Danio rerio: one gene and its partners. The protein of the gene in region 3 interacts with the protein of the main gene of each other region in a pairwise test. Links are inferred from orthologs where the notes say so. Each region holds a gene or a part of one and is shown on either strand. Other genes may lie near its edges.

Region 1 (7,784 bases), on a different chromosome or scaffold from region 3:
ATATAAGAAAGCATCAGGGCGTTATGGTGGCACAGTGGGTTGCACGATCACCTCACAGCAAGAAGGTCGCTGGTTCAAGCCCCGGCTGGATCAGTTGGCATTTCTGTGTGGAGTTTGTATGTCCCCCTCAAGTCCAAAGACATGCTCTATAGGTGAATTGGGTAGGCTAAATTGTTTGTAGTGTACTATGTGTGTGAATGGGAGTGTATGGGTGTTTCCCAGTGATGGGTTGCTGCTGGAAGGGCATCCGCTGTGTAAAACATATGCTGGGTAAGTTGGTGGTTCATTCCGCTGTGGTGACCCCAAATTAATAATAAAGGGACTAAGCCGAGATGTAAATGAATGAATGAATGAATGAGAAAGCATTCGCGATGGCAACATATCTTTTTTAAAACATGTTTGTAATACTGCCAGGTCGAGGCTTTAACAACAGTAACGTTAGTCTATTAGTTACTCTGACAAAGATATCTTCAGGTACTGCTTATGTGCCCTCAATAAATACATTTAGCTGAAACAAATTACAGTAATTTTTTAAAGTTACTTTGACCATACAGAAATCTTTTAAATTCATGTTTTTAATAGGAAGCTATATAATATTATATTTGTGCATATACATTAGATTAGTCAGTACTGAAGCCAAATCTGGAGCTTGTCTGACAAAATAACATATATGATAACGATCCAAAAACTAGTACACCCAAATTTTTATTATAGAAAAATATTAAATACAAAATTTTTAAAAAGGAAAAAAACAAGAGAAGCAAAATGATTAAATAAATAAGTAAAAAAAATTGTTGAAACTTTGTAGGTTGTATTTTTATTTATTTATTTATTTTTGTATATTTTGCTTGATTTTTTATTGTATTATCTTTCGATTTCTAAATATGTGTGGTGACTAAAATATTATTTTAATAATTATATCTGTTTTTCATGCACCGAAATACATTGCCTATATCCACTGAGAAATTAATAAAATATTCATTTCAATCTCATTCATACATTTCAGTTTGATTTGCTCATCCACCAATGAGGGGTAGGGACAGGAGTGGAGTTTGAAGGCACATCTCCTTTAAAAAAAAAAAAAAATCTACATTTACATATCAGTGAATGAGTATGAATAGTTACTTTTCTGACAATATACATAGTTATGTTTACTCGTGATATCGGGCTGAATATTTGAGGAGGATTTACTGAAAATGTCTGTGTGAAATGTGCTAATGATTAAGAGTCTAAACATATAGAGGCAAACTAATTTACATGACTCCTGATAATACCAAGGTCTTATGAATATTTTTACCTTTAATCCACATCTGTAAATGGCCTACAGCGTATTTACAACAGTCTGGAGTATATATAATGATGAATTGTCTAGGACTGCTTTTAATTAACATGTTTTCAATAATCTGTTTTGATCTTTTACTGTTGTTCCCTTTAATAAATGAGGTTTGTAGGCAAAGCACTTTAAAAAAGTAACTTTTAAAGGAGCTTTGTAAATTAAATGTGTTATTATTATTGTATTATTCATTAATTTTCCTTCAGCTGAGTTCCTTATTTATCCGGGGTAACCACAACAGAATGAACCGCCAACTATTCTAGCATATGTTTTACGCTGTGAATGCACTTCCAGCCAGAATCAATCTATTTGCCCAAAAAAATGTGTAATGTTCCCATCAGATATCTTTTATAACTGTTAAAAGTATAATTAGAAGCACTCAGTCATGTTGAAGTCTGACCTAATGGCACTCACTTCGCAGAGAGAGAAGAAACAACACTAATAATGACTGCTAAAGGATGAACTTGTCTTGATGATGAGATGAATAAACTAATGCCAAAAGGAGCAAAGTAAAAGAGATTGGCACAAAAAAGAAAGCCTAAATGGATCATTAATCTCTGTATGACAGATGCTATGGTACTTTGAGTTCTGGTTTCATATTAGGCCTCAGCTAAGGGAATACTGTACAACATCATTAACAATATAACTTAAAACATTTTAATATCTGATCAATTAGTTAAGGGATGGACAAACTCGATCTTGGAGGGCTGGTGTCCCTGCAGAGTTTTGCTCCAACACTAACTGAACACACTTGAACATGCCAAAGTGTAAAAAAAAATGCTAGGTTTCACACAATTCGGTACCGTATAGAGCACCAACCCAGACAACATATCACTTTAAAGTATAAAAAAGGTTCATAAACGGCACATTTTTAAACTTTTCAAGGTTATATGTTATTGGAAGAAAGATCAAGGTCCGATAATGTAATTCAAAAGCATAAATAAACTTTTGTAATTAATTTTGTCAGGAATACAACACATCTCTTCACTGATTTATATGATTTTTTTTTTCAAGAAAGATCTCTGCCCTTTTTATTAATGTTTGTGTGTGTTATTTATATTTTATGTATATTTATTTAGTTGCAATTCTTGTAGGTGCTTATGTTGTTGTGTGCGTTTTTTAATCTCCTCCTTTGGGGTGGGATGGGGGACTGAGGGCTTTTGAATGTTCTTGTTTACCCTGAGCTATTGTTTAAAAAAAAAATTGTAACATTGATATTGAGGTTTTTTTTTTTTTTTTTTGAAAACTCCACAAAAACAAACAACAAAATTAAACGAACAAATAAATAAAAGCATCAATAAACAACGTGAATCACAAAAACTGCTAGTTTACAAAATAATTTTACAGTGTATAATAATGTTATTACATTTTAAAAATACATTTAAAATATAATAATTACCATGATTTTTAAAATAAATCAAATGTATTTTAATCATTTGGGTATGTTATCACAAAATGTTGAAATTGCGTTCTTATTGTGTTCGGTGAAATAATTGTATTGTTTTTTGAAAGAAGATTATTCACTTACCAAGTCTGCATATATTTGATCTAAAATACAGCAAATACATTTGAAATTGAAAGTAACTTTTTTTTTTTAAATTCTGAAAATATATTAAAGTACTATTTTTCTGTTGGGGGAAGGGGTGAGGGGTTTAGGGGGTGAATCATACAAAAAACTGCTAATTTACGATTTTTTGGGGGGTGGGGGGCGTACATTGCAGCCGCTATATTAATAACAGGAACTAAGAAAAGAGATCATATCTTCCCTGTCCTTGCCTCATTGCACTGGCTACCTATAAAATACAGAGTTGATTTTAAAATTCTTCATTTCACTTATAAAGCAGTGCACTATTCTGCCCCGGTCTATGTCAGTGAACTTATTAGGCCTTATTCAGCTTGTAGACCGTTAAGATTCCATGACCAAATTTTTTTTTTTGTCCCTCGGTCTTGCTTCAAACCAAAAGGTGATCGAGCTTTCTGTGTCCCCAAGGCTCTGTAACAGTCCCCCCCTGAACATCAGGATTTCTCCTTCATTGGATGCTTTTAAATCTAACTTAAAGACTTATTTTTACTCTCTTGCCTTTGAGTGATGCATGCATGTTATTTATTATTATTATTATTTTTTTAACTTGTATTTTAGTATTACTTTTAAACATATACATTTCCTTGTATTTAATACCAGTTTTTTAGTTTTATTGTCTAGTTTATTTTATTGCAAAGCACTTTGGATCAAATACAGTTGCTTAAAATTGTGCTCTATAAATAAAGTTTGCCTTGCTTCATCTTGCCTTACATTAAAGAACAAAAAGTCTCTTTGCATCATTTGAACCAGTTTCAACTTATAAATCCAAACTCAGTATTTTAAAAACTCATTAGGCATTCTAAAGGGAAAATAGATGGCTTGAAAACACAGATCCTCTTCCAGCTTTTACAATTACAAAAAAGCTCTCAAAAGTTAAATGAGCATTCTAGATACTACAGTTCAAAACAGGCCGTACACTATATAATAACAGCAATAAAGCATTACCTGGAAAACATCATTGGCACACTTCCTGCAGAGATTGTGCTGGCAGGGTAAAATGACGACAGGCTTGCTGAATATCTCCAGACAGATGGGGCAAATCAGTTGCCTCTCCAAGTTCTCCATTGAGCTGGAATCTCCGATCGACGGTTTGAAGCCCAAAGTGAAGTTCATTTGGACACCAAATTCAGTCAATAGCTTAAGATCCTAAACTTCCTTTCCTTCTGTTATTCTCCAGCAGTGCCAGTCTTCATCCAGATGCCCAATCAATCGCCAACCGTAGAGTGGCAGAGGATATATTTGGGCTGTGTTTGTACTGGCTTGGGTTACTGTCCAAACTGCACACCCCCTTAATATCACTTTGAATACCCCAGTTAGCGCTGCATTGAGGGGTCCGGGGTAGAGAGAGAGCAAGAGAGAGGGGTGGGAGAACGGATTGCTCAGAGTTGTGTTATCTGTGGTAACTTGAGCAGAAAGTGGGCATGGCAGACCAAGCAGCTGGTGTGTGCGACTCAAAGGCTAGTGAGACAAGCAGGCCCATGAGCCCGAGCTGGCGCCGATGATATAACCCACCTAAAACAAAGCCTAAGTGCTCTGAACACATAGATTATGTGGATATACAGTGGGGGAAATAAGTAACACGTCAACATTTTTCTCAGAAAACATATTTCTAAAGGTGCTGTTGACTTGGCAGCTTAAAGACGCCTCTCATTTGGAGAATGAAGTCATATGCATTGCTCAGGTGTGACTTTTTTCACTGGCTTCAACAGTGTAAAAGTCTTGATGGCTCTCAGGTCTCGTCTATCAAATCTGATCATTATTTCATATTCTATATTGGATTCAAATCAGGTGATTGGCTGGGCCATTCTACAGCTTGATTTCCTATCTCTGAAAGCATTTGAGAGTTTCCTTGACTGTGTTTTAGATCATTGTCTTGCTGAAATGTCCACTGTGGTTTTATTTTCATCATCCTGATAATGTAGATGTTGGACTGAAGCAGCTAATATTCATTTACAATGATGAAGGGCAGAGTGTTGCTGAAGAACTACTAAGAGATTTCAGCTGCTGTCTGGGCTTTCACTGTCTTTCTACACCTCTCTTTCTTCATGTGTTTAATACTTTTTCCTGTCTCATTTCATTTTATTACACAACACTTAATTTGTAAACTAATTTAGTTGGTTTTCTTTTTATATATGCATTTCATGTTATGTGTTTTATAAATGGTGACATGTTCAATACTTATTCCCCCCACTGTACCTGCAAATCCAGTGTTTACAAATATAGTATATAAACTGTTAAAATGCTGGGTTCCACACAATTCCCTCAAGTTGTCTCAACACAAATAATTTATGTTAACTTAATTGTTTTAATATTATTTTTTTGTTCAATTCACTTAAGTTAACTTAGTTTTTCCAATATTAAGTGTGCCCTAAAAAACCCTTAAGAATTGTGTTGTTTCAGCTTATTTTAAGAGAGTAGTTTAAGCAGCAAAAGACATTTTTTGAAGTGTAGTAATACATTGAATGCTATGCAATGCATTAATATCAGTGTAGTTTAGATTATATTGGAATTTTATTAAGTTTAATTAGTCACATGTAAAAGAGGTTAAGCAACAAAGCAAAATGAAGGTTTAGTAAGACTTTTGTTTAAGTATTTATTTACTACTGGATTATTACCTGCCTGTTATTAAGATATTGGCTGTTTAATAATACTTATTCTACACGCACTATCCTATTCAACACATAAACCCAACTACTACCTCACAAACTGTTAATAAGCAGCTTATTAGTAGTCTAACAAGCTAAAAGTTTTAGTTAATGGTTTATGAATAGCATGAATTATACCTTAAAATAAAGTGACTGAAGCGTTGTAATGTAATGTTGAAAAAAAAAACTATGATTTAACTATTATAAAATGTCTTTCAGAGTGGCGGTAAATCTAAAAACAATAAAAATCTGAGGCATATTCAGAATAATAATTCGATTTCATATTAAAAGTCTTTATTTAAGGATCACATTGCAGCCCTGAAATACTTAATTATCATTTTAAATCTTTATGTGCTACAAACCACCAGATTTTACCATTTTCAGTGAGATTCATGTCACAAAAAAATAATTATTAAACATTTTATATTTAATATTTTAATAAGCAGTTAGTAATAAGTTTGTCTAAATTTTTAAACAAGTTAAGCTGGAGGTAAAACATTATCTTGCACATTCTGACATTTTATTTTGACAGAAGTTATCTGAAACATTGAAACCACATTTACTTTCATTTTAAATGCTACAGTATGTACACTGTAAATAGCTATTAGTTACTTAAAGTAAGTTCAAGAGTTCACACTCAGCAGATGATTGATAATAAAGCCCGTTTGGCATACTGTCCCGGGAGAAAGCACTGAGCTTATGAGATCCTTGAGCCCTGGGCTCCCTCCCGTTTGCAGGGCGAGAGGGGAGTTTGAGTTCAGATAGATCTCAATGAACTCCCCCTGGCTTATTTCTGGCTAATGACCGATATACTGTATGATGGCTGAAAAGAGGTGTACTCGCTAAGAGCTTGGCTATGGTATCAATTTGGTATGCTCAATTTACTTAGGTTGCGTGTTTTTTGGGTTGTGGGAGGAAACCAGAGACCCAAGGGAAAACCCACTCGAGCATGGGGAGAATGAGCAAACTCCACACAGAAATGTCAACTGGTTTAGAATGGACTTTAACCGGAGACATTTTTGCTTTGAGGCAACAGTGCTAATAACTGGGCTGCCGTGTCTCCCATGTAAAAAGGAGGGGGTGTAAGGGTGGTTGGGGAGGGGGGGGGGGGTTCTTCAAGACAAGAAATATTGAGATAAGAAAACTCTGGTTATTTATAGTGAGTTAGTAATCATCTGAATGATGAATCAATCATAAGCTGATGGGAGACCAGCTGAGAACAATCATAAGCACGTGATCCTCTCGAAATTAGTTTATAAATAAATCTCACTTTATTTGTTTCCCTAAAATTAAGCAAATGAACTTGGTGCATAATTATAAAAATTAAGTTGTCAAAATATTAGTTTTATGTTACAAAAGGTTAACTCAATTTTTTTTAAAGTCAACTAATCACCTTTTACAGTGTATTTAATGTCATTGTTTTGATTGGGACTTCTGTTCTTTAATCCATATCCCAAAAGTTTTGGAGGGAATTCCTAAAGTTTCATTATTGCTATTAAATTTCAGTATTAATTATGTTTCACCACTAATGATTTCTACTTCAGAACAGAGTTGGGTGTAACGTGTTCCACAGTAACGCATTACTGTGTTCTAATTACATTTTTGAGGAACACAGTAATGTAACGAATTGCATTTTAAATTTGTGTAATTTGATTACAGGTTACTAAAGTCAGTGTAATTACGTTACTTATGTTACAAGTATAGTTTCTAGAAGAAGAAAAAAAAGCTTAATTTAAATCACATTTTCTGCTGCAACGTCAGTTAATAAGTATGTGCTTTTCAATTGCTGAAGAAAGCGAGCTGTAATGGCTGCTGATGAGATTGGCTGCTTCAAGTGGAAATACAGACATTACTTATATTTAAAAACAAACATATTGCCGTGAAATTCAGTGTCCAGTCTCTAAAGACCTTTCGACTGCTTTTAACTCAATCAGCAACTTGTTCAGTACTTGAACAGAAAGCATTCTACAACTATTCTCGTCACAGAGAATGACACCGGCACCCAAAAACCCGTTGGCCCAAATCAACCTGAACAGACTATATTGAATTTTGTGCAAGATCAAGAGTGAAGGTGTCTTCTGAATGTGAAGAGAAGCGTAACTGCTTATGGAGCCGTTATCACATATCGCATCTTTTGTGCGTGGGCACATATTGGGAGCGCATATTGCACGCTTGTATTTCACAGCCACACCCAGTTGAAAACTTCAAGTCATGTGACAAGAAC
Region 2 (7,722 bases), on a different chromosome or scaffold from region 3:
TAAATGCATCAATAATGAATGAATTGATGGAATGAATGAATGAATGAATTAATTAATTAATTAATTAATTAATTAATTAATTAATTAATTAATTAATGAATTAATGAATGAATGAATGAATGAATGAATGAATGAATGAATGAATGAATGAATTAATTAATTAATTAATTAATCGATAATGAATAAAAGAAAGAAGGAATAGAATGGAATCAAATCAAAAAATTAATGAATGAATAAATTTATCAAGCAATCTAATCAATCGATGAATGAATCTATTAAATAAATCAATCAAATAAATCAAACAATAATGAATGAGTGAATGAATGAATGAATCAAACAAATTAATGGATGAATGAAGTTAGTCAAAATTTATAAATGGAATCAGTGACTGAATTCCATTAATGAATCAATGAGTGAATGAATCAATCAATGAATCAATCAATCAACCAAATCAATGGATGAATGAAATCAATCAATAATTAATGAATGGAATGAATGAATAAATGAATGAATCAGTTAATGAGTGAATGAATGAACTAAATGAATAAATTAAATTAATAAATAAGTGGAATCGATGAATTAATTAATTGAATGACTTAACGAATTAATTAATTAATTAATGCCTTAACGAATTAATGAAGTCATTAATTAATCAATCAATCAATCAATCAATCAATAATGAATGAATGAATTAATTTATGAATTGAAACAATCAATATTCAATCAATCAAAATGTGTTATCAAGTATTCTCTAAAAGAGGGTGAGCAATGACAACATTAAGGTCCTCTTTCATGCTTGAAATGTCTTAAACTGAGGGCTATAAACTGCAGATACCTGCAAAGTCTTTGGCCTCCTCTGTGGGTACAGTGCGCACAGTTGCCAGGTCATTTTTATTGCCCACCAGCATGACCACGATATGAGGATCAGCGTGATCATACAGTTCCTTCAGCCAGCGCTCCACGCTCTCATAGGTCAGGTGTTTGGTGATGTCATAGACCAGCAGCGCACCCACTGCTCCTCTGTAATACCTAAAACAAACAGCATTACATGTAAACACACAAGAAACTCAATTGCATTTGGCTCACATGATTCATTATTTGGTTTTTAATAAGTATGTATTGCATCCTACGGGGGAAGCTGGGGGAACGGGATGTTGTAATCACACAATATCTACACTTCAAAGTTTACAAGGTTTCGGCCCAGTAAGATATTAATCGTAACAGTTTACAATAAGGTCCATTAAACTTGAACTTTTGGCTAATGTATTTATTAATAATACTCATTAATTTTCCTTCGGCTTAGTCGCTTATTTATCAGGGGTCACCACAGCGGAATGAGCCGCCAACTATTCCACCATATGTTTTACACAGCAGATGCCCATCCAGCTTTCCTAGAGATGGGTTGTGGCTGGAAGGGCATCCGCTGCGTAAAACATATGCTGGATAAGTTAGCGGTTCATTCCCCTGTGGCGACCCCAGATTAATAAAGGGAATAAGCCGAAAAGAAAATGAATGGATGAATGAATACCCCTCCAGCCGCACACTAGTACTGGGAAAAACCCATACACTCTCACATACACACACAGCCAATTTACTTCATCCATTTCACCTATAGCGCATGTCTTTGGACTGTGGGGGATACCGGAGCACCCGGAGAAAACTCACGCCAACACAGGGAGAACATGCAAATACAGAAATGCCAACAGTAATGAACAGTTAATAATGTTAATTAAGATGCTTTTTCTCTGTATGTCAACAACAACATGAACATTTTTATTCAGTGTGAGCATAGTAAGAAGAATTTATTCAGCAGGAATGCATTAAATTTAAATAAAAGTTACTTTAAAGACATATATAATAAATGTATGGATACTGCCATTCTTTTGAATCTTCTGTTAATTAATGAATCCAGGCAAAAATGCATTACAGTTACTACAAAATTATTAAAAAGCACTACAACGATTTAATAATAAATATCTCGAGTACGTTGGCCATGAGAGCTCAAACATGCTGCAAAGATCTAAAATGTGTTGTAATTATATTTTTATCTCTTATTATCTGACAAATTGCACAATTAACTTTAAATTCACTTCGTTTGAGCTCTCTCGGCCACCGTATTCGACCATTAAACCATCAAATAAAATCTATTGAGATACAAAGCTGTATTCAAAATCCTGGTAATTGATAAAAAAATTATACAGATTTTTTTATTCAAACTTGTAATAACAATTGATAAATTTTAATCAAATAAATGCATCCTTGATAAGCATAAAACCCTTAAAATATATAATAATAATAAATTACCAAATCAAAACTTCTAAATAGTATAATTTACTAATCTAGAAGCATCTTTTAGGAAGAACTCAATATTCTGCAGTATTTCAGTAACTATATATTTAACATAACCATGGTTAAATTCTAATTCCTATCGTCTGAAAACTCTAAAATTTAGTGGTAGGACGGCATCAAGGCATTTCCTAATCAAAATTCTGCTTCACTTCCTTCCTCAGAAGGGACCTTCATCTGATTGAATGTTGAAGGCAGCACAGATGTGTCCATCGCACTTCAATTTTAACCCAGTAACTGGGTATGCCAATATTTGACTAGTTGAAATAGAAATTAGGGTGGCACGGTGGCTCAGTGGTTAGCACTGTCGCCTCACAGCAAGAAGATCTCTGCTTCAAGTCCCAGCTGGGTCAGTTGGCATTTCTGTGTACAGTTTGCATGTTGCCGTGGGTTTCCTCCGGGTGCTCTGGTTGCCCCCACAGTCCAAAGACATGCACTGTAGGTGACTTGAATAAACTAAATTCGCCGTATGTGTGTGAAAGAGTGTGTATGGGTGTTTCCCAGTACAGGGTTTGCACCCAAGATTGCATATGCTGTGTAAAATATATACTGGAACAGTCAGTGGTTCATTCCACTGTGGTTACCTCTGAAATAGAGACTTAGCCAAAGGAAAATAAATGAATGAATGAATGAATGAATGAATGAATGAATGAATGAATGAATGAATGAATGAATGAATGAATGAATGAATTAGAAATTTGACTGGTTGAGTTGAAATAATTTTGCATTTTTAAGTGTAGTGGTAGAAACTTTAAAACACAATCACTTTCTATGCTATAGTAAAATAATGCAAAAAGCACTGTAGCTGTCAGTAACTATCCTTTAAACTGTGTACCAAGTTAAAAAGACATATAGGAGTGGTTCTGGGTGTGAGTCTAAATCAATTGCAACAAATTCCAGATAATCTAAAACAAGGAAATGTACATGAATCTGAGATGAAAGGAAGATGAAGTGAGGGACGTACGCTGAGGTGATGGCCCTGTAGCGCTCTAGACCCGCAGTGTCCCAGATCTGGGCTTTGATGGTGATACTGTCCACCTGAACAGAGCGAGTGCTGAACTCCACGCCAATAGTGGTGCGACTGTCATGGTTGAACTCGTTTTTGGTAAACCTTGACAGCAGGTTGCTCTTTCCAACCCCTGATTCTCCAATTAAAACCACTGAAAGACAACCAAGACAGCATTTAACTTACTTTGAATGATGCGTAGTTAAAGGAAAATACAATTTCCACACTTCACTAGTTGCAAACCTGTTTGACATTCTTTCTTCTGTTGAACACAAAAGAAGATATTTAGAAAAATGCTGGAAACCTGTTTCCATTGACTTCCATTGTATTTGTTTTCCTACTATGAAAGTCAATGGTTACAGATTTTTAACTTTCCTCAAAATATCTTCATATCTATTCTGGAACCGCTTGAAGGTGAATAAATAGTGAGTAAATATTAATTTTTGGGTGAACTACCCCTTTCAATTTCTGACACAATTGGAAATACATGAAAATACAAAATAACAAATATCTTTTATATATTAGATTAGCATGCTAGGCATCAGACGCAGCAATCACAGTAAAAGCATTTAATCTTCAATCAGCTGACTGAAACTTACCTTTGAAGACAAAGTTGTAGGCTAAATCTGTCCCCATGTTGTCTCTAGCTGTAATGTGTCAGTCTGTGTTTAGTGCATACGTGTTACTCGAGCTCAGAATCCACTGGGAGGAGAAAAGCAGATGCTCAGGTTTCTCCGACAGCTTTATTGATCCATTCTTGCAGGTCTAAATGCAGATTCAGCCAGACTCTTCTTTGAGACAGTTTGGGTGGGAAAGCAGGTGAAACTGGTAGAACCACTGACACACACACACACACACACACACAATGGGAGTGACTTCATTCTCTCACACACACTACTGTTAAATCACCGTTCCTTCACTCCGACTGCGTGTATGTATCCAGTTCTGTATGCGCAAAAACAAATATCAGAAGAGCTGAGTCAGAAAAACAAGCCGTCCTGCATCAACATGTATCTTTATAGGCAACAGGTTGAGTTTCTGTAAACATAAAATAAAAGGGGTTTTGATTAGTTTGACGTAATCAAAACAAAAGCTTTGAATTTAGCTCATTTTAATGCAAATTTACCTGTTTAGCCCAGTGTTTGGCTCATGTTTAGGCTTGTGAATCACACCTCTGCTGTTCATGCATCTTTTTTCACAATAACCATTGTGTATATTGTTTGGTACAGACAGCCAGGGGTGTGAAATATGTGTGTAATCTTATTAAATGAATGTTCATTCATTCATTTTCCTTCAGCTTTCCTTCAGCTTTCCTTCAAGATCGACACAGTGGAGTGAACCGCCAACTATTTTAGCATATGTTTTATGCAGCGGATGCACTTACAGCGTTGCAACCAGGGTGCGAATTACAGGGGGTTTCGCGGGAGAACTGACCCCCCTAAATAATGCTTTATCCCACCTGAAGCACATCAAAACAGCGTGTATGGGGGTCAGTCCTCTAAAAAGAGAGAAATAGAGGTTACTCTGATTTGTTTCTTAAAAGATAATATAAAAACTGATAATAATAGGGGCGTCACAGTGGCACAGTAGGTAGCACCATCGCCTTACAACAAGAAGGTTGCTGGTTCAAGCCCCGGCTGGGTCAGTTGGCATTTCTGTGTGGAGTTTGCGTGTTCTCCCTGTGTTCGCATGGGTTTCCTCCGTGTTCTCCGATTTCCCCCACAGTCCAAAGACATGTGCTATATAGGTGAATTGGGTATAGACCATAGATAAATTGTCCATAGTGTGTGTGAATGAGTGTGTATGGGTGTTCCCCAGTGATGCAGCTGGAAGGGCATCTGTTGTGTAAAACATATGCTATAAGTAGGCCCACACAGAATCTGCGCACACAGAATTCTGCAGATTTTCCGCAGAATTCTGCAGATTTCTGCAGATTTTTAGCCCATCATTAATTCTGTTTATTTACTTGAGTAAGTGTGTATATCTGAATTTATTCAGTTTTTATTCAGTAATTTATTTCTTTTTATTTAATACATTAAGGTCTTAGTTATGATACTCTGCTGGATACTCCCAAAATAATTCCGCAGAAAACCACAGATTTTTACCAAAATTCTCAGCAGAAATAGCAAAAAACGTCCGCAGATTCCGTCTGGCCCTGGCTATAAGTTGGCGGTTTATTCTGCTGTAGCAACTTCTGATTAATAAATGGACTGAAAATAAAATAAAATGAATGAAAAAAATAGATTATATATACATTTGACCACCCCTATATTTATTCATATCATTGTGAATGCACAATCAGTCTATGTGAGAAACAAATTATTTATCAGTCTGAAACCATCAGATCAAAGCACCGATAGACAACCAAAGTGTTCGTAAGACACTTTTCTTGTAAAACAGCAGTTTGTTTCTACATATAACCTGAAAGTGAACTCAAATTAGATGCATAGTTTTTATAGTTTGACCTACAGTAAACTCTGGAATAGCTAATCAGAGGATATCGTAGGTCAGAATACACTAAATATCGCACAAAACACTGGAAACTTAAATATGTTTATTAATAAATCAGATTAATTAAACTAGCTCAAATAAATACATTCATGTGATTCACTAAAGCATGTATTACACAAACTAACGTTAACATACCAAAAAGGTTACCCTCCTGTTGGTGAATGTATAATTTGCACCTTGGGCACAACCCAGTACTGGAAAACACCCATACACTCTATCATTCACACACACATTCATACACAGGGCCAATTTAGTTTATTTAATTCACCTATAGCACATGTCTTTGGACTGTGGGAGAAACCGGAGCACCTAGAGGAAACCAACTTGCGGAGAACATGCAAACTCTATGCAACAGCACTAACCACTAAGCCACCATGCCACCTTAAATTAATGTACTTTAGTTTAATTTTTGGGAAACGTTTTTAAATGACAAAAATGTAATTTATATTGAGTGCTTGTGCTTGATTTGAAGAAAACCATTAATTTTATAATGCCTATCATTTTATTTCACTTTGAAAAGTAATTGCTTCACTGTTGTTTTTTCCTCCATCTTACACACAATGGGGTATATGCACACAAACTTTTAATTTCAGTCAGTCAGCCCCATTGCTTCCGGTTAATTGTCATCCCAAACTAAATTGCAGCGTTTAAGATCTGATTTCTTTAAATAACAGCAATCTTCACTGCCTGGCTGAGATGCGATATATAGTGGGTATCAGACCTAGCATAAAAACACTGCATTAATTTATAGACTATTTTTCCACACCATGTCATTAAAATATGGAAATTAATTTTTCCTCAGTATTTTTTTTAAAGTTTTTGCGCTTACTCGCTGCTAATGACGGCGCCTGCATTTAAACGGTTTTTATGCTTTACCAACCAAATATTTAACTGAATGTATTGTAATTATATTACAACATCGATGCTGTAAAAGAAACCTTATGAAATTAAAGCTTTTATAAAGCTTTCGCTAGAAGTTTATCATTGGCTAAAAAAAACTAGCTGTGCATATAGCTTATTGATAAATTTAAAAGTTTGTATGTTAACAGCACACATTTCAGCGTATGTTATTACTTATCTAAAAGAAACTTCTTTCATCATCAAATCTAAAAGTATACTGAGGTAACTTAGCTCACCCAAAATTTATTTTTAATACATTCTTATAAAGTCTATCCACTTGTGTGCCATTTTAAGTCTTATTTGTTTTTAACCATTAATTAAAAACTTTAATTTGTACTTTTTTACCTCACTTTTTTACTTTGTTAGTACACTGTAAAAAATTCCACACAATTTGTTCATTGTCTCAACAAATTTAATTGGTTTAAACATAAAACAATTAAGTTGCCCCCACAAATCACAAGAATTGTGTTGCTTCAGCTTGAACAAGCAGTTTGTGTATTTCTACTTCCACTTAAGTATGGTAGGTCATTTGAGTACTTTATACAGCTCGTGATAATATTAACTTGCATATTTAATTAATTGTTACTTATGTGATAAAAACCATGCGGTAGCCTACTGTTTGTTTCGTCGCCACAGATCTGTCCATTAGACAGTCTGACTGGGTCCTGGCTTAGCACAGCTGTGGCTCCATTTTATGACCTTTAACAACATAAAAGACATATTAAGTAACTTCCGAACAAAAACAGACAAAGGACGTAGTAAATCATAATTTGACATCCACAAAATCGGCAATGTTCATCTTCCTCTCCTGTGGGCGGCAGCACTGCGATGACAAGACGATGTTGAGGTGATTTCAGCAAAAAGAACTGCTTCCGTCTGTACACACGCCGGGGTTCATCATGGCGGCGGGACCGATTTCAGAACGAAATCAAGGTATATTTGATAAATTTAACTTTTTA
Region 3 (6,984 bases):
AGTTCAGTCGAAAAACGATTGCTATAGACCAGGGGTGTCAAACTCAATTCCTGGAGGCCCTGCACAGTTTAGTTCCAACCCTGCTCCAACACACTTACCTGTAGGTTCCAAACAAGCTTGAAGGATTCTATTAGTTTGATCAGGTGTGTTTAATTAGGGTTGGAACTAAACTGTGCAGAGCTGCGGCCCTTTTGGAACTGAGTTTGACACCTGTGCTATAGACGGTTTCAATACAACACAAGCTGCAGTTGAAGGCTGCGCAGAGAGTGAGTCACCTGACATTAGGCGAGTGGTGCGAGCAGCCGAAAACATTTGTATTGGTTTGTTGAAAAGGCCTTTTGTACAATGCACTGATATTATTAAGGGTGCAATGATTAGCTGATTTCACTTTTAACCCCGCTTTTATTCATTACAGGCTTCTCAACGCTGCATTTCTGGTGCACAGAAAAAAAGCTGCTGCAACTAAAAGTTTTGCCTAAACGCACATTGGATTAATTATTCCAGCAAGCTGTTCACATATTGTGTCTTTTCTGCACACAAATACAATATTTCCTATAGAGACGTGCGCATATTGGGAGCGGCGCACGCACGGCTTGCAAGTGGACCGATGCATTTGCGCCCTGCTGGCGCTCGCAATTTATTTTTAAGTCCAAAAAGAGAAATGGACTACTGTTTGTTTTTTATAAATATTTTGTGCTGTATTTGATTACTGAGCAGCAATAAACAATGCTTTAAAATCTAAGCAGTTTTCTTCTTATTTTCTAAACTAGTAGTGTTTAAAATATAATAAAGGCATAGTAATGGTGATAACTGTGAAACCATGATTATTCTTTAGACTATAATCGTACAACCAAAATCTATAATCATTGCATCCCAAATTGTTACGCAGTTTAAAACATAACATAAGAATGTGTCTGAATGTAGAAAAAGCCTACTGAGCAAGACACTGATTTTGTGCCTCGAAATACAACCTTTAGATATGCTTGTAAAAAAGCCACATTGTACAATGCAGTGATGATATGCAGTTTAAAAATACAACATATTAACGTTTTAATGTAGAAAAAGTCAACGTGGGTGTCTTTATGACCACAAATACAGCATATGGGCTCTTATATGCTGTTGTGTCATCACTTATATTGCTAGTCATATCTCTCCGGCCCCTCGTTTGGGATGCTTTTTATGGACTGGCCCCCACGACAAACTAATTGAATAGCTCTGGTCTACACCTACTCCACACTTAAACCCAACCATTACAGTTATTAACGTCTATGCCTACCACAACCCTAAACCCAACCATCACAGTTATTATTGTACTGTCATGACAAACAGACTAAGAAGTCAGAGTTTCTAAATGACTATAACACTATATCAAATGAATAGGTTGTTGATAAATTTGGAGAAAATTCATAAAAACATTTGCTGAAAATGTTCTCTGGTACATATTTCCACCGGCTTGCTAACAACATCTAGTTTGACATCTCATATGGTTCAATGGGATTTCAATAGATGCAAGTTACGCATCTAACTTACTACAAGTTACGCCTTCTTCATGTTACGCCCATTTCTTGCAGTCCACAAATAGATACTCTTGCTCCGATGACATGTACAAAGTTTTTTTTGCATTGTTTTGCAAGTGTGATAAAAAATACAATTAATTATTATTTACCAATAGAGGGTGGCTACTGTACATTCACAGACTGTTGCCAAATAACTGTGTTTTAAATCCACAAAAAAGTGATTTTTGCATATTATGTCCCCTTAAAAAATTGCTTTTATGAGGTAAACAGAGAGAGAGTGAAAGATAAAAATGCAGTGCTGTACCTCCTGATATAACCTGCGTATGAACATGCCTCGGGTGAATGCTTGAATGGTGATTACAGCCCGACGGACCCTCAGATACTCCCGGCGAACCTGTACCATGCGGTACTGCTTCTGACAAATGACTGCTGCTCGGGTCAGGCGAAGCATCTCTGCGTACCTGAGAGACAATGAGAAAAGTTGTAATTGAAGCATTAGCGCTTCCTGCTATTATTCCTTTTTTAAAAGATGTCATATGAGTCTTATGACACCTAAGATGTAGACGTTTACGCTTAAAATAGCTTAACTAAATCAATGCTAATTTTTGGCTAAAAGCTTAAACACGGTTTTCTTCAGTGACTTTTAATGCAAATCAGCTTATTACAGTCTTAATAATGAACATTAAGTTGAGGTATTATTAATATATTATGATTTAACTATTTTCCAGTACTGGGTTGAGTATTCCACTCTGGCGACCCCTGATAAATAAGGGACTAAACCAAAAGAAAATTACTAAAAAACTAACTTTAATTTATCTAGAGTAGATTTAGTTAACTAAAATTTGATAAATTTAGCAAAATAAAATTAAACTTAAACTACAATCCACGAAGAAGACTGAAATAAGACTAAAATGAAATCAAAATTTGCTGTCAAAACAAACAATGCACACAAGTTAACATAATATAGGTCATGTAGGTCACATTACTAATACAACTAAATGTCTCGCTGCATTTATTTACATTCATGATATCATGATGCATACGTTCCCAGAGGAATCATCAGAACTACAAATGAGGCAATTAAGGAAGATCAGAAACAGCATCTACTGATGTAGAGAATAACTCCCATATTATTGCACTCAAAAGGAAGTTGACTGAGTAACCATAAGGGATCTCCTTAAAATACACCTTTAAGCTAATAGCCATCAACTCAGACACTCACCTGCGTGCCAAGTAACCCCGGCCGTATCTTTGTAAAGTGATGGCAGACTTGCGAATCTTGCGATACCGAATCCTCTGCAGCCATCCTCGCACAGTCTTCTGGATCTTAATACAGGCGAAGCGGAACTTATCGGCTCTGAGCTTCTCCAGATAGGCCACCTGACCCGCCCTGAAGAAGATCTTAGTCTTTCCAAACTGGAACTTATCTGGATCCTGAAGGAGAAACAGAGTCACAATAAACAGGATTACTCAAGATAACTATCTTTGATTGAAAGATATGTCGTCAAATATAAATGTATGTTAATAAAAGATAATGTTGCAGGATTGATTATATATTTAACTCAGAGCAGAAAAATTAATAGTTAATCTGTATTTGTTATAAAAAATTAAATCTGATATAATAAACTCACTACCAGTGGGTCACAGTCACTGCAACAAAGCTGCATTAATTTCATTCATATCAATTCATCTTTATTTCTATAGTGATTTTTACTATGTAGATTGTGTCAAAGAAGTCTCTAGTAAATTAAAACCGCTTTAGTCCAGTTTTCACTGATAAATTTTAGCTTAGTTTAATGTAATATAAATGTCTCTGCTGAGCCCAAACACTGAACACTGAAGAGCAACTCCACTGATGCGCAGCTCCACAAGTCCCAAACCAAGGAAGCCAATGTCGAAGAATAAGCTTCACCAATTGACGAAAGTGAAAAAAAAGCTTTATAAAAAACTTTTTGATCAAAAACAGAAACAATAATATTGTGAAATAATAGATATACATGTGCAGGCGCTGATGAATGCTTGATTATGATTGGCTGATGAACATTCAGCAATTTTTAGATTATCACACGGCTAAAGTAAATCCAGGCACGTCATGACTTTATCACAGCTCCACATCATGACGCTGAAATATTCCACTTATTTAACAGCAAAATTATTCAAAAAAATGAGTCAAAAATAAAAAATTAAACAAAAGTCTTTGGACGAAATGTATAAAAAACAGTCCTACACACAAAAGTGGTTGAGGACAAAAACCTGACAAATATTCTGAAATAAAGTTGAATTTTCAGAGCTGTAACAGTGTAGTGAGTTGCGCTGATGAATGTATTGTTAAAATGAAGTTATGAAGTGAAAACAAAACAAAACAAAACATGGCATCTGTGTGAGACCAGTTGAAGACCAAAACATGACCTCTTTGAAAAGAAATGTAAAATATGGACCATTAGCTCGCTTTTTAAAATGTCTAATCATCTTATTTATTTCCGCCCGTTTTCAGGGCCATACTTCCGCATGCTCCAACTCTAGTGTGACCGCAGCATCAAGGTGTTTACTAGCCTGTTCATTGTAATTAAAATCACAATTTACATTGATTATGGTTATAATTATTATACGCTCAATCAAATCGACCAAAATCCTATTATAAGTGTGCATGCACAGTTAAAGTTAGAATTATTAACCCCTCCTGAAATATTAACTCCTCTGTTCATTTTTTCAATACATTTCTAAACATAATAGTTTTAGTAACTAATTTCAAATAACTGATTTATTTTATTTTTGCTATGATGAAAGTAAATAATACAATAATAATATAGAGAGTAAAATATAACTAGATATTTTTCAAGATGCTAGTATTCATCTTAAAGTGCAATTTAAAGGCTTAACTAAGGTAATTAGGTTTACGTAGGGTAATCAGGCAAATCAGTAGACAATCAAAAAAATATATATAGCTTAAAGGGGCTAATAATTTTAACATTAAATGATACATTTTTTTAAAATAGATTTTATTCTAGACAAAATAAATAAGACTTTCTCCATATGAAAAAAAGATTATAGAAAATATTGTGGAAAAATTCCTTGCTCTGTTAAGCATAATTTGGGAACTACTTAAAAAAGGAAAGAAAAACGAAAAAGAATAAAAGTCACAGAAGAGCTAATAATTTTGACTTTAACTGTAAATGTAATCAGCGTTGAAAACAGCAAGTACATTTGTGGAAGTGATATTTAAACTGGTCTTACCTTGATCAAGATCTCCAGCAGGTTCTTACAGACCTGCTTCTTGTCTCCGACTGACAGATCCTTCTTTGTCATGAGCACTCGATATCTGCTGAAGAAATCTGGATATGTCCATCTAAGAAAAAACATCAGATGTGAAGAGGAAATCAGTTTGAATGACTATTGAAGTCAATACAGAAATATTATGGAATTCTACTGGGGAGACCCTGAGGTTTATAAACTGAAGTCAGATAAATCAAACAAGAAAGAAAAGAGCTGTAGATTGATTACCGTGATGGATAGCCGGCGGCGCTAATGCGAATGGTCTCCAGAACACCACATGCTCTTAGTTGCTGAACAGCTCTTCTAGAATCAAACCTACAGAAAGCAAAAGACATCTTAAAGAATTTAAAAAAAAACAACAACACAAGAAGTTGATCTTGACGCTGGGTTGAGAACAAGAGCGCGTGTGTGTTGGACCACAGGAAATTCGGGGGGGTTATCTAGACCTACCGGATCTTTCTCTTGAGCATAGAGCACATCTCCCGAGAGAGAGGCATTGGGATGCTGCTGTCCGCTCAGGGACCAGAGGCTTACTGACTCATAGCTCTGAGACTGTGTGTTCGAAACCTCAAGAGCATGTGACTGACAATACTCTCTCAATTAAGCATCCTTGAAGGGGCCCTTGTGCTCAGGAATTTTGAGGACACAAACAAGACTCGGCATTTTGCTCAGGGTTGTACATTTTACAAGAAAAATAAGCACATAAATACATTCAACCGACATAATGTTTTTAAAATGTGCATAGTATTTTAGTATACTTAATTATATTTGTGTGTATTGTATGTAATTTGTACATTTAGAGGATTTCTGAGTTTTGCTTTCAATATGTTGATTTAAATATATAGTTTTTGACAATAAAGAGCTTTAGTGAGGAAACAAAGAGACCACCTGAAAATACTCAGTATGGATTTTTTTAGATGTAGTAGGTTTGGGTTTGACAGGCCAGTAGTCAGGGGGTGGGGGTGGTTCGAAAAACTCACCCCCCACCAATAAAAGGTCCAGAATTTGTCCCATACATGAGCTCATTTGTCTTATTTTGACTGCAGTGCCATCATAAACTGAGAAGGGATCAAAGAAGGCTTCCAATAAAAGTAAAAAATTATAGTCCATGTTTTAAAAAGACAGTATATGACGAAAGTGAAATCTTCTTTTACTACAAGTAACTTTTATTTTGAATCTTGGACCTTATTCTTGAAAGCACCAAAAGAAGCCCATATTAAAGTAAGTTTTTATACTAATTAGGCTATTGTTTTTATCCATGAACTTTCAAAATGTACTTTTAGTTACAAAAAAGTTTAGAAAAATCAAAAAGCTCTACATTATTAATATTAATGTTTTATTATTAATGTTTTTATAATTAAGATTCTGATTGAGGAACGTTGAATGTGCTGGCCAGTTTGTTTTTATTTTAAAACTTTAACAGATACAAGATATATGATGTAATAAACTTGTATTTTTTAATAAATGTTTTTCATATTTCTTTATTTAAAATATTTAGTAAATGTTTTAGTACCTCAAAAAGTGTGGTTATGATGACCAATCGACAAGCTAATCCAGCTAAAAATAGTACTTAAAATATCACTAAAATGCAGTATTTAAAGTTCATCATTAAAAAAAAAAAATACGGTGAATAACTGCAAAAAAGCTTTTTGAGAAAAAATGAACAACCCCTTTCACCAGGCTGGCTACGGGCCTGTTGAATAAAATGTTAATGATTGTTTTATTCTATAAAAGCTATGACAATTTGTTTCCCCAAATGTAGATCTTTTTTTTTTTTTTTTTACAAAATGACAATTGGTCGAGATTAAAAATCAGAGTTATTACACCAAATGTGTATTTATGAAGACTTTTGAAGTTAAACATTATTATTGTGTTGTTTAAAATGAATATAAACATGTCTGAAAAACATGGCCCCCTTTTTTGTTGTTATGCAAAAAATACTACAACATCAGTTCTTTAATAAATGACAGAAATTACTAGTTTATCAGTTAAAACAAACTACATTTTACTCTAAACATATATTATACACATAAATCATAAACTGAAAACAGAACATTCTCTTTAATGTACAATCTAGATATTATTAATGATTACAAGAATTAAATTCATGAAACTTGCCTATTTAATTTAAACCAGTTCAAGTTCAAAAATTTATAGTTTTAAAAGATAACTGTGATAATATGTTCACGCTACA

What was found. The genes of interacting proteins can lie anywhere in the genome.
Region 1: the proteins of myo5b (region 3) and trim54 interact in binary tests that used the Homo sapiens proteins (3 or more experiments, as listed by UniProt). The two-hybrid records come from large-scale screens. The link is inferred for Danio rerio from reciprocal best matches to the Homo sapiens genes MYO5B and TRIM54.
Region 2: the proteins of myo5b (region 3) and rab25a interact in binary tests that used the Homo sapiens proteins (3 or more experiments, as listed by UniProt). The link is inferred for Danio rerio from reciprocal best matches to the Homo sapiens genes MYO5B and RAB25.

The regions. Positions count from the first base shown.
Region 1 is NC_133195.1:42,034,849-42,042,632, forward strand, and holds the start of trim54 (tripartite motif-containing protein 54), read right to left. Parts: upstream 4,141-7,784; 5' UTR 4,029-4,140; coding exon 3,861-4,028; intron 1-3,860. UniProt on the Homo sapiens protein: May bind and stabilize microtubules during myotubes formation.
Region 2 is NC_133194.1:8,472,546-8,480,267, forward strand, and holds the start of rab25a (ras-related protein Rab-25a), read right to left. Parts: upstream 4,141-7,722; 5' UTR 3,989-4,140; coding exon 3,952-3,988; intron 3,507-3,951; coding exon 3,311-3,506; intron 1,030-3,310; coding exon 836-1,029; intron 1-835. Other genes in the region: sf3b4 (splicing factor 3B subunit 4), read left to right, coding at 7,663-7,696. UniProt on the Homo sapiens protein: The small GTPases Rab are key regulators of intracellular membrane trafficking, from the formation of transport vesicles to their fusion with membranes.
Region 3 is NC_133196.1:23,940,611-23,947,594, forward strand, and holds part of myo5b (unconventional myosin-Vb), read right to left. Parts: intron 5,326-6,984; exon of another isoform or gene 5,288-5,325; coding exon of another isoform or gene 5,241-5,287; intron 5,106-5,240; coding exon 5,019-5,105; intron 4,864-5,018; coding exon 4,752-4,863; intron 2,952-4,751; coding exon 2,740-2,951; intron 1,979-2,739; coding exon 1,822-1,978; intron 1-1,821. UniProt on the Homo sapiens protein: May be involved in vesicular trafficking via its association with the CART complex. The CART complex is necessary for efficient transferrin receptor recycling but not for EGFR degradation.